Linked DNA regions of Nothobranchius furzeri. The protein of the gene in region 3 purifies or fractionates together with the protein of the main gene of each other region. This does not show direct contact. Links are inferred from orthologs where the notes say so. Each region holds a gene or a part of one and is shown on either strand. Other genes may lie near its edges.

Region 1 (4,238 bases), on a different chromosome or scaffold from region 3:
CGTGCACTCAGTCTCTCAAGTTCTGTGTGAAACTCAGACACACGATTCTGTGAGAGCAGGAAGAGAAGGTTCAGCCCAAGTAACTGGTGCATGTAGGCAGCTTCAGGCAGCTCGTCTCTAGATGACACACACACACACACACACACACACAAAAGTATGTTAAAAGAAACCATTAGGTATAAAATGTTCACAGCACACAAAAAAGTGTATTACTTGTAATCAAAGTAGTAACATTTCAGTTGAGCCATGTATCTCTCAAAAGATGGAATGTCTTTCTTGAGGATGCTCCACAGAGCTCCGATCTCAAGGACATCGCCTGGAAACACCATAAGTTTGAAGTTACACATGTACAGTTTTACTATACAGGCATTACTAATAACGTCTGAATAGGTTTTACTCACGAGCTAAAATAAGCTGCTGCTTGGTGATACCAGATCCTTTGGTAGGTAAAAAATTCAGCTCCAGTAGAGAAACCTGTAAAAACAGGGAATAAAATAATTAAAGAAAAGTGGATCAGAGAAGCACTTTTCGGTTAGATGACAGTGACATGTGTGGGTAGTAACAGAATAATAAATATAATTCATTGTCATCTCTTAATTATTTGACAAAGATGCAAGTGAAAGTATGACCAGAATCAACAAGAGAATGAAACTGCTGTACATCTGTATTTCAGATTGACATAAATATCTGTATAAAGATTAATGCATTGCTTAAAAACTTATTTAAATAGTACTTTATGTAAGTACTTTGTTGATTGGGTGCATTTCCACCAGAATTCAGTACAAATTAACATTAGATATAACATTTACAGTCATTCTAACGAACTGTCTGACAATAGTTGTTAAATAAAGATAAATAAAAACTATATTAAAAAGTATCCAGATGAATGTCAATGTAAAACTGATGCTAACGTTAGCTACAACAAATGATCCGTGTTCAGAGACTGTCGCTTAAAAAGCTCAAAACTATGAAAATGTCTAATAACGCAAACTGCAATGTATATCCGAATAATTAAAACTCAAATAAAAGCATAAACCATGTAAACAGTAATCCCTCATTAAACGTATACGGCGCTTTAGAACATCGAATTAGCCTAGCTAGGCTGTTAGCGTACTGAGCTACGTTTGCTAATACCACTATAGTTTGAGAGTAGGACGTGTTACAGATTCAACTTGTACGGTTTAAAAAATTAACAACGAAAACATTAACAAACGTGTCACCTTGAGCTTGCTCAAAAGGTCTCCACACTTATTCGGGTTTGGATTTTTCTTGTTCCATTCAGCTTTTAGAGTCTCATACAACCCAGCAGTCTCTTTCAACGCCATGGTGATTCTGCAAAATGTTCGACATTGGCTCCCGTTTAACGGCTGTCGTGAAACACCCGTTACCATAGCTCCCTCTTGAGACGGCACCAGTCCCACATTTGATCAAGATGGCGGCCTTCGGCGCAGAACGGTGGCTGAACAACTTGCCAAACCACACAATTTTCAGAAAACTACGAGAGACGCTGGATTTGGAATCCAGGTCAAATGAAAGAGAAGTCGCTAAAAATCTTACGTTTTGTCTGGGCGGGGACTTTTTCGTGTGGGACAACGCTGAACGCGTTTTTTACACGACCAACCTGAGGCAGCTGAACTCTGATAGTGAAAGCGGGAAGTTTCAGACGCTGCTTTGCATCAACCCTCCTCTGTTCGATGTGTGCCAGGTGTATGTGAGCCCAGTGCAGCATCACGTCGCGCTGGTCGGACAGCGGGGCATTTCGGTTCTGGAGCTCCCTCAGCGATGGGGCAAGAGGTCCGAGTTTGAAGGAGGACGGGACAAAATCAACTGCAAGACCATCCCGGTGGCGGAACGCTTCTTCAGCAGTTCACCGTCGGTGAGTCTGCGACAAGCTGCGTGGTACCCGAGCGAGACCGACGAGCCCCATGTTGTGTTGCTCACATCAGACAACACCATCAGGTTTTACGGTCTGAAGTCGCCTCAGACGCCGGCTAAAGTTCTGCAGCTGTCGCAGTCAGAGGATGACTGCAGCTCACAGCATCCGGTTCGGTCCTATGCTGCATCTCTGGGAGAGATAGCTGTGGCCTTTGACTTTGGGCCGGTTTCATCCCCTCCTCGAAAGGTGGCAGCCCAGATTCCCAAAAATCAGCTGGTTTACCCTCTGTACGTTTTGTATGAAAACGGGGAAACCTACGTGAGCTACGCTGGTCAGACGAACGGTCTGAGTGTGAGTAAACCGGCTGGACCCCTCCCTATGTATCCGGCAGCCGAGGATAACTATGGCTATGACGCCTGTGCCATCCTGTGCCTGCAGTGTGCCCCCAGCATCTTGGTGATCGCCACAGAGACGGGGACTCTGTATCACTGCGTAGTGCTGGAGTCTGAGGAGGAAGACGAGGCAGGGGCTGTGGAGAAGTGGATCCGAGGCACAGAGGCGGTACCGGCTCTTTACGTGTTTGAATGTGTCGAGCTTGAGCTCACTCTCAAAGTAGCTTCAAGGGAAGACGAAGAGCCTCAAGAGTTGGATTTCACCTGTCCAATTCGTCTGCACCAAGACCCCCTGTGTCAGCAGAGGTACCACTGCACCCACGAAGCCGGAGTTCACAGTGTTGGGCTCATATGGGTCAACAAAATGCAGAAGTTTCTTCAGTCCAGCGAGGAGGACAAGGACAGTCTCCAGGAGCTGGCTGCAGAGAAGCGCTGCATCGTGGAGCACATTCTCTGCACCAGACCGCTGCTAACCAGCCAGTCGGCTCCGGTTCGTGGCTTTTTAATAGTCTCCGACCTTTCCTTGGGCGCCACAATGATCTGCGTCACTGCCATGTTCGAGTGCATCATGTTGCCCCTTCTAAGCTCCATCCGTCCACCCTCCCCTCCACTGCTCTGCTCCCACCCAGTTCCTGGCTCCATCAGCTCACCTCTGCGTGGGCTCGCCAACGACTCCTTCGAGCAGCATATCCGCAACATTTTGACACGTGGCTCCACTAATCCCCTTGTGCTAAAGGCAGGCGATAAGGACACATCACCTCCACCTGCAGAGTGTCTGCAGCTTCTCAGTAGGGCCACACAGGTCTTCCGCGAGGAGTACATTCTAAAGCAGGACATGGCTTGCGAGGAGATGCAGAGGAGGGTGAAGCTTCTGCGAGAGCAGAAGAACAAGCAGCAGGAGGAGTTCACTCTGTGCAGAGAGGAGAAGAAGACTCTGAGAGAGGCGGCAGAGAGGTTGGCTGATAAGTACGAAGATGCCAAGTATCGCCAAGAAACCATCATGAACCGAGTTAAGAAGGTGTTGTGCAGCCTGCAAAGCCAACTGCCCATCCTGTCCAACAGTGAGAAGGACATGAAGAAGGAGCTGCAGACCATCAACGATCAGCTAAAACACCTGGATAATTGCATCCGGCAGGTGAACATGAAGATGGAGTACCAGCAGAAACAAGTGGACAAGGACATGTCTTCAGCTAGGATGACAGTGTCACTCAACGCTCAACAGAAGAAGGTTGTTCAGGACGTCCTGAGAGAGCAGGGACAGCAAATCGGTGACATGATGAAGCAGATCAAAGACATCAAAAACCACTTCAACTTCTAATCTCCTTTGAGACGCAGACATTTTCTGTTGGAGGAAGTAACTTTTATGTTTTTGGTCAAAGTTTCATGTTTTCTAGCATTTAGTGAAAAGTTACGAGTGCTTTATCTTTTAGGAGCGTGAGACAGACGTGAAAGATAAATGTTTTCCACCCAAAAAAATCTTTAAAAATGTTGTTTAAGTGGAGAACAGCAGGCTTACTGTTGGGTTTTCTTTGTTCAGGCTGTTCTAAAAATACAAAAATAAATGTTTATGCTCTCTAAAGACATGTTTTCAACTCAACTGTGTACTACACGTCTATTTTTGACATCGTTTTTCAACTTTTAAATAAATGTCAATGCTTTCTGTGGCTGTGACTATTTACAGAGCGTTAGCAGTTAAACTTTTAAATAATTAAACCAAATTAAATTTAAAAAAAAGTTACAGTTTTGATAGAATGTGATTTTTTAACTGGATGAATACATGATTGTGCTGAGCTTTGCTGCCGCTATAGGTCTGCGATTTTAAAGTCCAAGTAAAGATAAGAAAAGTTAAACACTTAAAATCTCCAGCAGATTTGATATGTTGTTAGAACACAAGTAAATATGGTTAAGAGATGCTTTTCTTGTAGAATCATTTTTATTTTCAATATTCTGACATGAAAAAATTTGTTGAT
Region 2 (4,176 bases), on a different chromosome or scaffold from region 3:
GAAATTAATCTAAACTCACAGAGAGGGTCAAATGAACTTTAATCCTAGAATTATGATACAAGTTATAAACTAGAAAACAGATCCCAGGTGGCATAGAAATGGTAGCTTAATGCTTCTCATGAATGAATCAAACAGAATGATTTTCCCCAAGGGGATCAATAAAGTACACATTATTCATCATCTTTATGTTGAATGTTTGACATGTTAATATATTTATAATACCGGGAACAGTATTCATCCAGGATCTCCCTTCTCTCCCATTCAATTCTTTTCAATATAAATTAGGACAAAGATGTTATCTACAAGTTTAAACCCTGTATAGTTTCACAAAAAATAATGTTTGACTCATTGTTTTACCGTTTTCCATTTAAAAACATCACCAACCCAAAGCAGCTGTTAGTTGTAGAATTTCAGACATTGCAGAATGACACCAAGTTTGTTAAACTAATATATAAAAAGGTTGGTATTGCTTGATTTTCCATCTACTACAATCAGTTATGTGACTGATGCTGGAAGTCATTTATAGCTAGCTATATGGAGTAACTAGTACTTAGAATTTCTGCATTTTTGCACTCTTTGGGATTACTGAGGACAGTCATTCTTATTTGGCCTATTATTCATAGACTTGATAAGAGAATGGTTTTAAATAACATGGACATGAAATAGTTGTGTTTATCTTTCAACTACAAGAATAATAAAAACCACTTGTTTTATGAAGTAATTTCAACAAACACTAATTTCACAGGAAGACCAGAACTGTGCATTTTACACGTCTGTGTCATAAACTTGTGATGCAGCGATTTTACAATATTTTCTGTAAATGTGATGTTCTAAACATTAGTGGCAAACCTAATTTGGTAAAAACAAACACTGGGTTAGTCTTGTACAGTTTACATTTAACTTTCTCAGGTTACTCACCAACATACTTCTTCTCAAACTCTCCTGTAATGTGTCTCTTCACAAAAGTTGTTTTTCCCGTGCCTCCATCTCCGACCAACACCAGCTGTGAAGAACAGACCAGTTATCTACTGACCGGTTTGTGCTGGTACACCAGTTACCTCAGCTAAAACGCACACATTTTTGCCCTCACGCGCCATAATTAGATCATACTTAACATCATTCTTAAGAAGTAGATTCTTACCTTGAACACCGCCACAGGTACACACTGTCCCATAGAGTCAGCCATGGTTCCAAATATTCTGAAACAAACAAGGCGGGAATCTACCGTTAGTGTTATCTATACGTTGATTTAAGTTAAAGATTCTCAATAACTCAATTTGGCATTCTGGGAATATTGTTCACACGGGGCTTTGAACACGCACCATTCTGTACAGACGAGTTTACAGCTAAGGGATAACTTCTAGCATGTTCTATCCAAGCTAACGTTCCGACATGTTCAAATGCGACGTTATAATTTATGAAAGCTTGCTAACGCATCAACAAACAGCCTCTAACTGCTCTCCGGTGTGCCAAAATATAAAGTAAAACAAAGCTACCGTGCCCCCCAAAAGCCTCAGCACTGGCGGTTACCAACTAGCCTTCAAGCTAACAGGCGTTAGTTTAGTGCGCCATATGATGCCTGAGCGCACTTTTTCAGGTTCGACTGGAACAATCAGACAGTCACAGAAGCTAATGCGTTCCATGTTGCCGTCAATTTCTGGTCTAAACAAGACGCCTTCCGTAAATAACGTTAATTGCGAACAAGAAAAAATTGTGAAAACTCCCTGGCAAATATACACAAATAAGAGTAATAGGAACAAATATCCCAGAACAAAGCCGTGAAATGGAGCATTGCTGTGCTCGCTAGCCTCACAGCTAGCACAGCATGGAAGCCATTCTTCCCCGTTAGCTGGTAGCACAAAAAATGCGACGGCCTTTCCCCCTCAACTGCTGTTAAGGCTGCACATGCAAAACGACCTTAACCCAAAAGAAGAAAATAACCCAAAAAGTTTTGTTTCATTCTTAGTGACTTAAAAACAATCCAAACTTGACATTTAGGAAGGCCCTCAATTGAAGAGGAAACTAGCGACTCACCGGTGTCACTGCGAAGAGAGGAAAGAGTAAATGGCTGCGTTCGCGGCAGATTCAGCGTGGACTATGAGTCACTTTCCGCCCTGGTCACGTGGCCTCCGCAGCGCCAAAAACGCATAAAATATAGAACATGAATCAGCATCCGTCTGATATACCTTCACGATGCGCACTCCGCTGCTTTGTTCTCAAAGCAACACTTCTAGAGATTAAACCGTATATATCATGTTTTTAAAGTGTTGATCAAGACATATGGGCCCGATAAGAAGCCAGCTAGTTTTTGTTGTTCAAAGGTTTCTGCCCTTTTCTGAAAACTTCCAAGGACCTTCGGGGTTATAAATCATAAATTTGACATTTGCACTAAAAGGAGGTTTTGACAGGAGGAGCCTTTCCCAGACACCAGTGTCTTTCTGTACTTCTCTACTTCAGGAACCCCTTTCAGGCTCTCTAAAGATTACGGAGTAATGAAGGGAGGCAGATGCCCGATGATATGTGTTACTTAACTCTATAGACATTTCTGTGTTTATGTCCATGCTTTAACCCCGGCTCTTCCATTGTTTGTTCCTGTAGCAAAGTTAACACGCAGGGTTAAAGAGTGGCCTTTAAAACTCATCTGGTTTAAAAATACATAATCAATTTGTATAATTTCACCCGTAGTTCATACCTTAGTGGAAACTGCAAACCAGAGCTGACAGAAATGGGACCAAGTAATAGGTTCAAATGATTCTGGGCCTGTGTTTTATATTAGATCATGCAGTTAAATAAAACAGATCTAACAAGCTTGAAGAATTTTCCTGAAAAACATGTTATGACTGTTGATGAGGCACAAAAGAAGCAGAGAGAATTAAAACTAATTTGTACTCTTTTTAAATTACATTATTAAACTGCTATGACATTTTTCAAGTTGTGATTGCACTTAAACTAGCTGTTAGCTCATCAATCCTGTTGAATGTTTCAGTCCATTCAGAAAGCTAAATAAAATAGTAATTACTTATATCCTTTATATAAAAATACACTTCAAACTGGTCAAAACAATTCTGTTGAGGTTGAAATCAGAAGCTGCAGGTATGCTTCACTCCCAATTCTCCAACTAATCTAACACCAGCCTAGGTTTAAAATATGGTTTATTTAATTACCCTCAGTTGTTCTGGAGAAGCATTACATTGAAATGTTCAACTTAAAAACAATAAAAAATGTTTTAATGTGTCTGTAAATATCAGTGAGTAAAAACAAATGAATTCAACACATGAACAGTTCAAACTAACCCAATCCTACAACAAAACAAGCCAAACAGTGCCTGACCAACAAGAAAGCTCCCAACCTGTTCTAGCCAATGGCAAAAGAGCTGTAGTATTTAACCCTGGCTGATCCACTGAGTAGAAAACATTCTGTGGATAAGGAATAGTCGAGTCAGTTGGAGACAGGTCAAATCATTACCGCATGAGACCATCATTAGGTTAAAAACTGCCATATATCTAAAATAACGAAAGATAAAGAAAATTTTGCAAAAATGCTTACTAAGTAGAACTCGAGGGAATAGTGAAATGATTTCCAGAAACACATTATAAGGACTAACCAATGTAACCAGACTAAACAGCCGTTTAGCTCAGAGAGACACGCATTACTGAGGATATAAACCTCAGTTAGATGGGAAGCAGCAAGACTGATTCCTGACAACAACAGGATCTAAATGATTTAAGATGTTATTTTTCTAATAAAGGATTAACCAACAGAGCCACCCCCCCCCCCCAGTCATAAATACAAGATGAAAATTTAAGTTACTCAGTTAAGTTTTATGATTTACAGAAAAAGCTCAACAGTGAAGGTGTGCCTATAAAAAAGCTTTTAGAACAACTTTTGTTAGATTTGTTTATTTTTGTTTATGGCCAGTTAATGTATGATTACTGGGCTTGCTTCAAAATGAGCATTTTAACTCCACAACATGTAGCTATTTCTATAATGTACATAAGCATGATGCCAAAATGGTTTGTTTTTACAAGAAGTGGTTTATCTGTACAAATAGTCTGCCTGTATATTGGCTGCTATCTCAGGCTCCCATCGGTCTCCGTTGTTGAGCAGCTTTTCCTTGTTGTAAAGAAGCTCCTCGTGCGTTTCTGTAGAAAACTCAAAGTTTGGACCCTGAGGAGA
Region 3 (4,358 bases):
AGCCTGAAGGAGTTCTGCTTTGTTGTGGAGTTGCTAATGCTAACACTTAGCTTCTACTAGTTGAGATGTTCTCTGCTGTTTCCTGGACACTAAATCAACAACAGCCTTCCCCATTGCAAGTCAAGATGGGTGAATCCATGAATGGTAAGCGACAGTGTGACGTAGAGCTGTCAGGCTTTTCAAATCCTAGAGCAGGGGTATTCAATTCCGGGCCTGGAGGGCCGATATCCGGCAGGTTTAACCCCGTTCCAACACACCCGATTTCAATCAGCATATAATTAACAGGTATTTGCAGAGCCTGATGAGCTTCAGCACATGTGATTCAACCATTGAATTAAGTATATTGGAGCAGTGAAACAACTAAAACGTGTTAGATGCCAGCCCCCCAGGCCCGGAATTGAATACCCCTGTCCTAGACTTTCACTATTTTCTAGACTTTCACTATTTCTATCAGAAGCTAATGAAGGAGATATATAAAAAATAGGACACTATTTTCACGTTCAGTCTGCATGTTAAACTCTGAGTGACTGATTTAAAAAAATAAGTAAAAATTGTTTCTTAGTGAAGGACCTCTTTAAGTTTACAGTTTGGTTGTGCAACGTGGGGTCAGTGTTGAAGTTCTAATTCTACCAAAGGAGAAATAATTCAAACATCATCTCTGAGATGCTATCTAACTTGTCTTAAGTGCTTGAAAGCTGATTTTCTCAAACTTCTTAAACTATGTAGAGTATAGGGCTGTCGCGGTTGAGGAATTCCCCCTGCGGTGATTCAGGGTGGCTTAATATTGCGGTGTGCGATATTATTGCAGCCCTTTTTTTATTGCAGTACTATCTAAACATAATGTTTACACATTTAAAAAAGGTTAAAAATTGCCGTGCCTTCTTCAATAACGCTTTACTGAATGCAGATCAAAGGGCAGTAACAACACAGATCGCAGTAACGTTTGTTTCTCCGACAGTCGGAGTCCAACTGAACTTAAAAACAACAAAATTCAGGAGGTTAAACTTTTAAATGCAAATTTGGCTGCAGCATCTAACAAATAAGAAACAAGTCCCCATTTTGTTTAGTTGTTTAAAATCAAGCATAAAAAATTACATGTACCGGGCGCGCGCGCGCCGGGGGGCGGGCGCACTATCATTTCACTTTCACACACACGAATGACGGTGATTTATAGCTCGGTCACGTCCTTGTTACCTACAAGGAAAACCAAGCATGTTAACCATATACGGTTTGAGAGAGGATCTGAGAGGGGTGGCAACATTTCCAGCAACACTGAAAACCCTCTCGGATGGTGCGTTCGTTGCACTAACGCACACGTACTTGCGTGCGACTCTGCCGAGCAAAGGGAATGTCTCCCGGTTGTTGCTCCACCATGTCAGGGGGGTTTCTTTAGGGTGGATGCATTCCTCCTGCAGGTAGCGAGTGAGCTCCAGCTCGGCTCAAACTCTCTTCAGGACGGTTGCAGAAGCAGTGCTTGTCCGGGACTTCAGCAGGTCTCCGAGCGTTTATTATTATTTTTTTGCCGCTGGTGGCAGCTCTGTCTCGGCCAAGGACTCTGGCTGTGCAGCAGCTGACGTACTGAAAACCAAAGTGCTCCCAAAGGAGCGAAGTAACGTTTCGTTTTGATACCAGTGCAGCCATCCTTCTCAACATGCATCATTGAGTTGAACCAAGTTCAGTAATCGCGGTGGTCCATGATGCAGCGCGGTGGGCTTCTTCATATTGCGATATTTCATTTTTGCGGTTACCGCGACAGCCCTAGTAGAGTATAAAAACAGTCCGCTTGAAATTTGAAAATGTTTAGATATCTTCAAATGACTAGCAGTGAAAAAGCTGTAAAAATGCTGACGTGTCACATTACAATTAAGTAGATATTGCACACAAAATTACACACATTATCAAATCTTTTAGCAATGTTATGACTGCCATAACAATGGCGATTAGGTGCAATTTCCTACATTTTAATAAAAAAATGTAAAATTGCATTAAGTACATTTGGGTACTTTACATTTGATCTATGTTCTTAGTTGTATATCAGTGCTAATATATTGGCAATGAGGTTTGTTACTGCATTAAATTTGCTAAAGTGGCTTTTTAGAGTATTTTGTACTTCTGTCCATTTGTATAAAATCTAAAGTTGAATGAAAATGGAGTTAACAAAAAATAATAATCTTGGGTGTCATTCATAGTGCACCTAAAATACATTCAAGTACAGTTTACATGTTTGCTCCTACCTGTGAGATTCACTAAAGAGTATAAATCTCTAAAAACAAACCTTAAACTGTTTCAATATTATATGATATAAGGTGCTCCCTATGCTTTTGGAAGCACTGATTAAAGTATTTGCATACAAATAGACAACAACAAGCGTTTAAAGCAACTTATATACTATTTCTTTAATGTATTTATTCTTAATTATAAAATAGCCTAAAATAAATTGTAATAGTCGTGCAACGTAACCGTAATATCAAACGATGTCATTTGTTGTCATAAAAGACCTGAATGACATCTCTGTTACCGTTAGCATAACATTGCGGTGCTAACATACGTAGACTGAAACGAATATAAAATAATTTCTTTTGACGGACTTGAGAGAAAATTGTAATCAGTTCTCCGTTTTCATCACTCGGCATTTTATCAATGTGCATGGTCTAAGTCAGTAAAAAACAAGGGGTTATAGTAATCTAAACCAAAATAACTTTACAATCAGTTAGCTAGCTGCTTATAAGCTACTAAGCTAACCAACGCCGTAGCTTTCCACATGCTAGCCGCGTAAATACCTTCATCTCCCTCTCAGGAGGGGAGTCTGTATCGTCACTCATTTCGAACAGAAACTTCTGATTCTCCGGATGAGGTTTTGCTTTAATTTATTCCTTCAAAGCGTAGATGTAAGTCAAAGTTCGAGCGAGCTACATCAACTGAACTCGCCGCGCCGTTTTGTGTGTGAAAATAAAATAGGATGACTAGTGGATGCTAGAGTGTCCTTTTGCAGTTAATAAATAAATAAGGATGACGAGTAGATGCCAGAGCTAACTGAGATGGCCCACCAGTCTCTTGGATCCGAATAAAAACAAAACGTGTTTAGAGCTGATTTTTGCATCTTGTTTCTGATCATATTTGCCGGGAAAATGTCTTGTCTGTTTACAAATAGTATGTCAGGATGTTAATATATATTGTTTTCATATCATAAATGTACAAATTAGCATAGTTTCTTATTCATAAATCCAAGTTCTATAATCATAATTTATTCCTGTTTATTTCCCATAGAAGAGTACAAGTGTCATAAAAACCTTAAAAATGTGATATATGAATTTAAACGTTTACATTTTTTGTGCTGGCATTGCTCTAAGCCCCTTTGATTGTTGCATTTATGGTACTGACTCAAGAAGCATTTAGCTTTTTATTTATTTTTCTGCTATTACTCTTTGCCTTAGCCAACCTAATGTATGACGTATGGTTCTTAATGAAGTAAAACGTTTTAAATATTTTAAACATGGATAGTTATGATGCAATAAAAGTGACATACTAAAAAAAATGCTAAACAACATTTAAATCAGACTATTCACATTCTTAAAGTTGTATTTTTATATCCAAGTTTTTATTTTCCAACTGGTCTCCCTGACTTTAATGAAAATAGTTGAGAATACTTAAAAATCTTTTATAACTAACTTTTGACATGAAATCTACTCAGGGGAACAAAAACAATTAGGTAAAAACTTTTTAAATGTCTAATAAAGTTATACTGACTTTTGTTAACATACACTTGCAGGAAAGTTTGTACTTGTGTATAAGCACTTTACAAGTTGCAGAAACTTTTATTTCTCCTATGCATGATTCTTTTTTGAATCAGTACCCCTTTGGGAACCCCAAGAAATGAAGACAAAAGGAATAGCCACCCACTACAGTATAGGTGAAGTAAGGACTTTTATTAGAAAGCTGAATTTTCTGTTTTGCATTTAAACAAATCAGGTACTCCTCTGCGACTACATAACTTAAAACTGATAATGGCAGAGATGATGGTAGGAATGAAAGATAAGATTCTTATGTAACATCAAAAGTGGCATCTTGCATTTCCATTATATAGTATTCATGCTTGAGCCAGAAGGCGCATGAACATTTTAACATTTTATTCTTTTAGAAAGCAGAAACAACATCCAGGATTTCCGGGGCCAGGCCCTGCTGATTGTGAAGAACAATACAGTGATCGGAGTTTACAGTTGCATGATCGGATCCTTTTGTCAGCTTGTGCACTGACGTCCATTATCAAGTTAGGTAGGAGTTCAGACTTCAGGCCAAGACTGGCCCACTCTTGCATGACAGATGTGGCCCGTGTCAACATGGGGTGACTGTTCATGAAG
Region 4 (4,248 bases), on a different chromosome or scaffold from region 3:
TTTTAAGCCTAGTCTTAAAAGTAGACAAGGTGTCTGCCTCACGGACTAAAGCTGGGAGCTGGTTCCACAGGAGAGGAGCCTGATAACTAAAAGATCTGCCTCCTATCCTAATTTTAGATATTCTGGGAACCACCAGTAAAGAAGGCACCTCCCGTGTATTCTTGCTTAGCTAGCTAAACAGCTAACAAACGAAGAACAGACACCTCGGTAGCACATGATGATTGGAACACGCCTTGGCGGTACCTGATTACGTATCTCCTAGGCAACCGGGGCAGGACCAAGACATCAAGAAACACCGAAGAGTTTGAGATAAAACTGGGTGTTAATTGGCAAGTATCTAGCAATATAATATGTTGCTATACAGGAGAGACGATACGATATATTGAGATACTAAAAGGCTGACTATTTTTGCAATTTTTAAGTGAATTTAACTGGGAAAACTCAGACAATTCCAGTGTTTTCGCAAGATATCGGTCTGTCAGACTGAAGGAGGAAGAAACTGCTGCCACCTAGCTGTCAGTGTTTGATCTGCACCACACAAAAGAAATACAAGAAATGTTGGCATGTAAATTCTCAATAATAGATACTCTGCTTTTAAATATCGATTCTGTATCATAAACCGAAATGTTGTGATATTTCAGTGCATTGAATTATTTTTACATCCCTAGAGTGTTATATGAATACATCTCACCAAAATCCAGAAACTGCTTCATTGAAAGAGGGGAAGGAGAAAATCTGGAGTAATAATCGATATCCTTCCCTACTGACACGCTGTTCCTCAGAAACCTCAGAAGCCTCATGTTGACCGGGTTTACTAGTTATTCGGAGGAAGCAGGTGGCTTCCGAGCCACACTTAGTGTTATTTAACGACACTAGCTCGTTGAGCAAACCCAGCAGCTCGCAAACACGCTGTTAAATTTATTATTGTTCAGTTACGTTGCTAATTGATGCAGGTTCAGCATCCATAACTACGGCCGCGCTGCAATGTTTGTGTATCGTCCGGTGTGTACTTCAAGTGATCGCTGCTAAATCCACCGAAGCAGAAAAGTCAACAAGCTAATTCAAAGAGTTACTACAAAGTTCAAGAGGATTCATCGTTGTTGCCTGGCGTATACCGACACGAAGTTCTGTTGAAAGGCTGTATTTAAAATTATTGTCAATATTGACGGTAAATTGCGAAAATAAAGACGTATAAATGCACGATAATGTCCTAAATAATGTCTTTTATTCACGTGTGTATGAAAGAAGAAGAGTTGATAGTGCTCGTTATTCTGTAACTATCTTGCCTTTGCATACTCTTTGTAAAGGCCAAACTATATATTTTTCCGAATGTTTGTCTATCAGGCAGTCAAATGAGCCTATCATGTACCTCAAATCTAATCATAACTCTGATTGGATAAAACAGTTGCCAAATAAATTAATAGGCGGAATTATGTCCCTGCAGACAAAATTCAGGGCATACGAGAATGCCGCGTCTCGGGTGTCGTCACTTCCTTTAGGTGGCCAGATAATTGCCTGTTAAAGGAAATGTCGGTTCACAGGCCCACGTTTTTAGCAATGTGTTATTGATTTTGGCTCTATATTCCTCGGAAGGTAACGTTGATTAGCGTGTGATTTCATTCATTTCCTGCGTATCTGTGCAAAGTTACTTAAATAGACGCAGTGGGGATTTTAGGAACTTCAGTCGGAGGAGTTGGTCATAGCGACCCGCCAAAAGCCACAAGATTCGGCAAGGAAGTGGCCGTTTTAAACGACACGTAACGGCTGTGTTTAACTTCTTGTGAGGATAATGAGTGGCGGATTCAACTTCGGACAGAATGCAGGGTTCGCCTTTGGAGCGCAGAAGACCACTGCCGCTGCCCCCAACGCGGGTTTTACATTAACCAGCTCAGCAGCTCCGGGAGGGGGGTTCGCCTTTGGAAATGCCAACCAGACCAACCCCACCGCCTCTTTCAGCTTTGGCACCCCAGCCAAGAGTTCCGCAGGCGGCACGGGGTTGTCTTTTAGCACGCCTACTGCCTCGTTTGCTCTTGCTACCCCTCAGACAACACCGGCAGCAACAGGGTTGAGTCTGGGCTCTGCAGCAACTCCGGCTGCCGGGTCAGGGTTCACCTTAGGCAGCCTGCTAACCTCGCAGCCCCCAGCTGCTGCACCAGCAGTAGCAACAGTGGCACCAAGCGGGGGAGGATTCACCTTCGGTGCTCCCACACAAGTCCAGCCTCAGTCAGTGGTAGCACCCACAGCCACGACAGCAGCAAGTGGCATGTCCATTGGAGGGTTCAGTTTTGGTGCTCCCAAAGTCCAGGTGACCTCAGCTGCAGCCCCCACTGCTGCCACAGGAGCGGGATTCAGCTTTGGAACCCCTGCAACCACCGCCTCTGCAGCTCCAACCACCCAGGGTGGAGGTTTTAACTTTGGGATTAAACCTTCATCAACCCCAGCCCCTACAGCAACCACCCAGGTGGCTCCGACTCCAGGCCCTACTCTGTTTGCGACACCCATAACCACCACCGCCGCCACTACAGCAGCAGCTCCAGGATTCATGTTTGGTGCAGCTCCAATTTCGGCTCCACTTTCATCGGTGAGCACTGCAACCACCACAGCAGCTGGAGGGGGCTTATCCTTCCCACTCAAACCTCTGAGTTCAGCAACCACCACCTCTGCTCCGGCCTCCATCCTAACTGCAGCCGCCACCACAGGCACAGCTACGGGCTTCATACTGGGACTCAAAACTACATCCACCACAAGCACAACCACAACAGCCACAACAATCGGCACCACCACCACCACTGCTCCTCCTGTGATGACCTATGCCCAGCTGGAGAGCCTCATAAACAAGTGGAGTCTTGAGCTGGAGGACCAAGAAAGACATTTCTTACAGCAAGCGACTCAGGTGAATGCCTGGGACCGCATGCTGGTGGAGAACGGAGAGAAGATCACATCCCTGCACAAGGAGCTGGAGAAGGTGAAGCTGGACCAGAGGAGGCTGAACCAGGAGCTGGACTTCATCCTGTCCCAGCAGAAGGAGCTGGAGGACCTGCTGTGTCCGCTGGAGGAGTCCGTGAAGGAGCAGAGCGGAACCATCTACATGCAGAATGCCGATGAGGAGCGTGAGAGAACATACAAGCTCGCTGAGAACGTAGACGCACAGCTGAAGAGGATGTCTCAGGACCTGAAGGAGATAATTGAGCACCTGAACACATCCAGCGGCCCAGCTGACTCCAGTGACCCAGTAAGATCAGATCTAAGTCATCCTTAAACCTGTCATTATGATGTTTGCCTTTTTCATTCATCTCTTTCTCTCTGTTTTAGCTCCAGCAGATTTGTAAAATTCTCAACGCCCACATGGATTCGCTGCAGTGGATCGACCAGAACTCGGTTCTCCTGCAGAGAAGAGTGGAAGAAGTGTCTAAACTCTGCGACACCCAACGCAAGGAGCAGGAGAAGAGCTTTCGTTTAACCTTTGACTGATCTGTTGATGAGTTTAACTCTGCATAAACATTATGCTCTTTTGTTTGGATTTACTCATTTCACTTTCTGTTTTGGTTTTATTAAGATAAATATTTTCTCAATAGTTCTTTATAAAGTTAATTGATCATATTAAATGTTCTGGGTAGTGTGATTAAATAAAACAATTGCAGTGGATCTCATTCAGCCTGATGTGGTGTGTCATGACTCTAATTCTCACATCTAATCTGAAACATGAAAGATCTACCAGACTTTTTGAGTTGAAATAATCTAAATTACTTAATCATTTTAGAGCTTTAACTGTAATTTGTCTCAGTAATGATCTACAAGCTGCTTAATTCTACCTGAGCCCTAGATTAGATGTAAAAACACAAGGAGGCGGGTGCAAGAAATGATAAATGACCCGCACTTGTATAGCACCTCTCAGAGTAAGGACTCCAAAGCACTTTACACTACAGTGTATCATTCATCCATTCACACACTGATGGTGATGAGCTACGATGTAGCCACAGCTGCCCTGGGGCGCACTGACAAGCAGAAGCATTGGTTTTCTTAACAGCTCCAGATAAGGTAGTAGAACATGTTGGCCAACCTCACAGGTATGTTGCAAAACACTTTGAGATTTTCATTCTAATACAATGTTAAAAAATACAATTCACCATTTCTACAGTAAAAAATTCCCAGGAAATTAAACAGCCATGTCACAAATATAAAAATGGACTACAGTTTGTCCTAATTTGCAGAATCTGCTAAAAATAAGAGCTTCATTGTCATCCGCTG

Evidence for each region.
Region 1: the proteins of nup214 (region 3) and nup88 purify together in Homo sapiens (affinity purification with mass spectrometry; 6 studies listed by BioGRID and IntAct, counting the BioPlex papers as one, with this or other methods). This does not show direct contact. The link is inferred for Nothobranchius furzeri from reciprocal best matches to the Homo sapiens genes NUP214 and NUP88.
Region 2: the proteins of nup214 (region 3) and ran purify together in Homo sapiens (affinity purification with mass spectrometry; 3 studies listed by BioGRID and IntAct, counting the BioPlex papers as one, with this or other methods). This does not show direct contact. The link is inferred for Nothobranchius furzeri from reciprocal best matches to the Homo sapiens genes NUP214 and RAN.
Region 4: the proteins of nup214 (region 3) and nup62l purify together in Homo sapiens (affinity purification with mass spectrometry; 5 studies listed by BioGRID and IntAct, with this or other methods). This does not show direct contact. The link is inferred for Nothobranchius furzeri from reciprocal best matches to the Homo sapiens genes NUP214 and NUP62.

What each region holds. Positions count from the first base shown.
Region 1 is NC_091753.1:46,764,370-46,768,607, forward strand, and holds nup88 (nucleoporin 88), read left to right. Parts: upstream 1-1,401; 5' UTR 1,402-1,432; coding exon 1,433-3,586; 3' UTR 3,587-3,928; downstream 3,929-4,238. Other genes in the region: psmd8 (26S proteasome non-ATPase regulatory subunit 8), read right to left, coding at 1-117, 214-316, 402-474, 1,221-1,325. UniProt on the Homo sapiens protein: Component of nuclear pore complex.
Region 2 is NC_091741.1:91,737,678-91,741,853, reverse strand, and holds the start of ran (GTP-binding nuclear protein Ran), read right to left. Parts: upstream 2,902-4,176; 5' UTR 2,035-2,901; intron 1,542-2,034; exon of another isoform or gene 1,323-1,541; intron 1,200-1,322; 5' UTR 1,187-1,199; coding exon 1,142-1,186; intron 1,004-1,141; coding exon 919-1,003; intron 1-918. Other genes in the region: ndufs8b (NADH:ubiquinone oxidoreductase core subunit S8b), read right to left, coding at 4,036-4,167. UniProt on the Homo sapiens protein: GTPase involved in nucleocytoplasmic transport, participating both to the import and the export from the nucleus of proteins and RNAs. Switches between a cytoplasmic GDP- and a nuclear GTP-bound state by nucleotide exchange and GTP hydrolysis.
Region 3 is NC_091746.1:57,168,760-57,173,117, reverse strand, and holds the start of nup214 (nuclear pore complex protein Nup214), read right to left. Parts: upstream 2,965-4,358; 5' UTR 2,823-2,964; coding exon 2,781-2,822; intron 1-2,780. UniProt on the Homo sapiens protein: Part of the nuclear pore complex. Has a critical role in nucleocytoplasmic transport.
Region 4 is NC_091754.1:20,876,552-20,880,799, reverse strand, and holds nup62l (nucleoporin 62 like), read left to right. Parts: upstream 1-1,598; 5' UTR 1,599-1,789; coding exon 1,790-3,232; intron 3,233-3,312; coding exon 3,313-3,471; 3' UTR 3,472-3,650; downstream 3,651-4,248. Other genes in the region: pdk1 (pyruvate dehydrogenase (acetyl-transferring) kinase isozyme 1, mitochondrial), read right to left, coding at 692-800. UniProt on the Homo sapiens protein: Essential component of the nuclear pore complex. The N-terminal is probably involved in nucleocytoplasmic transport.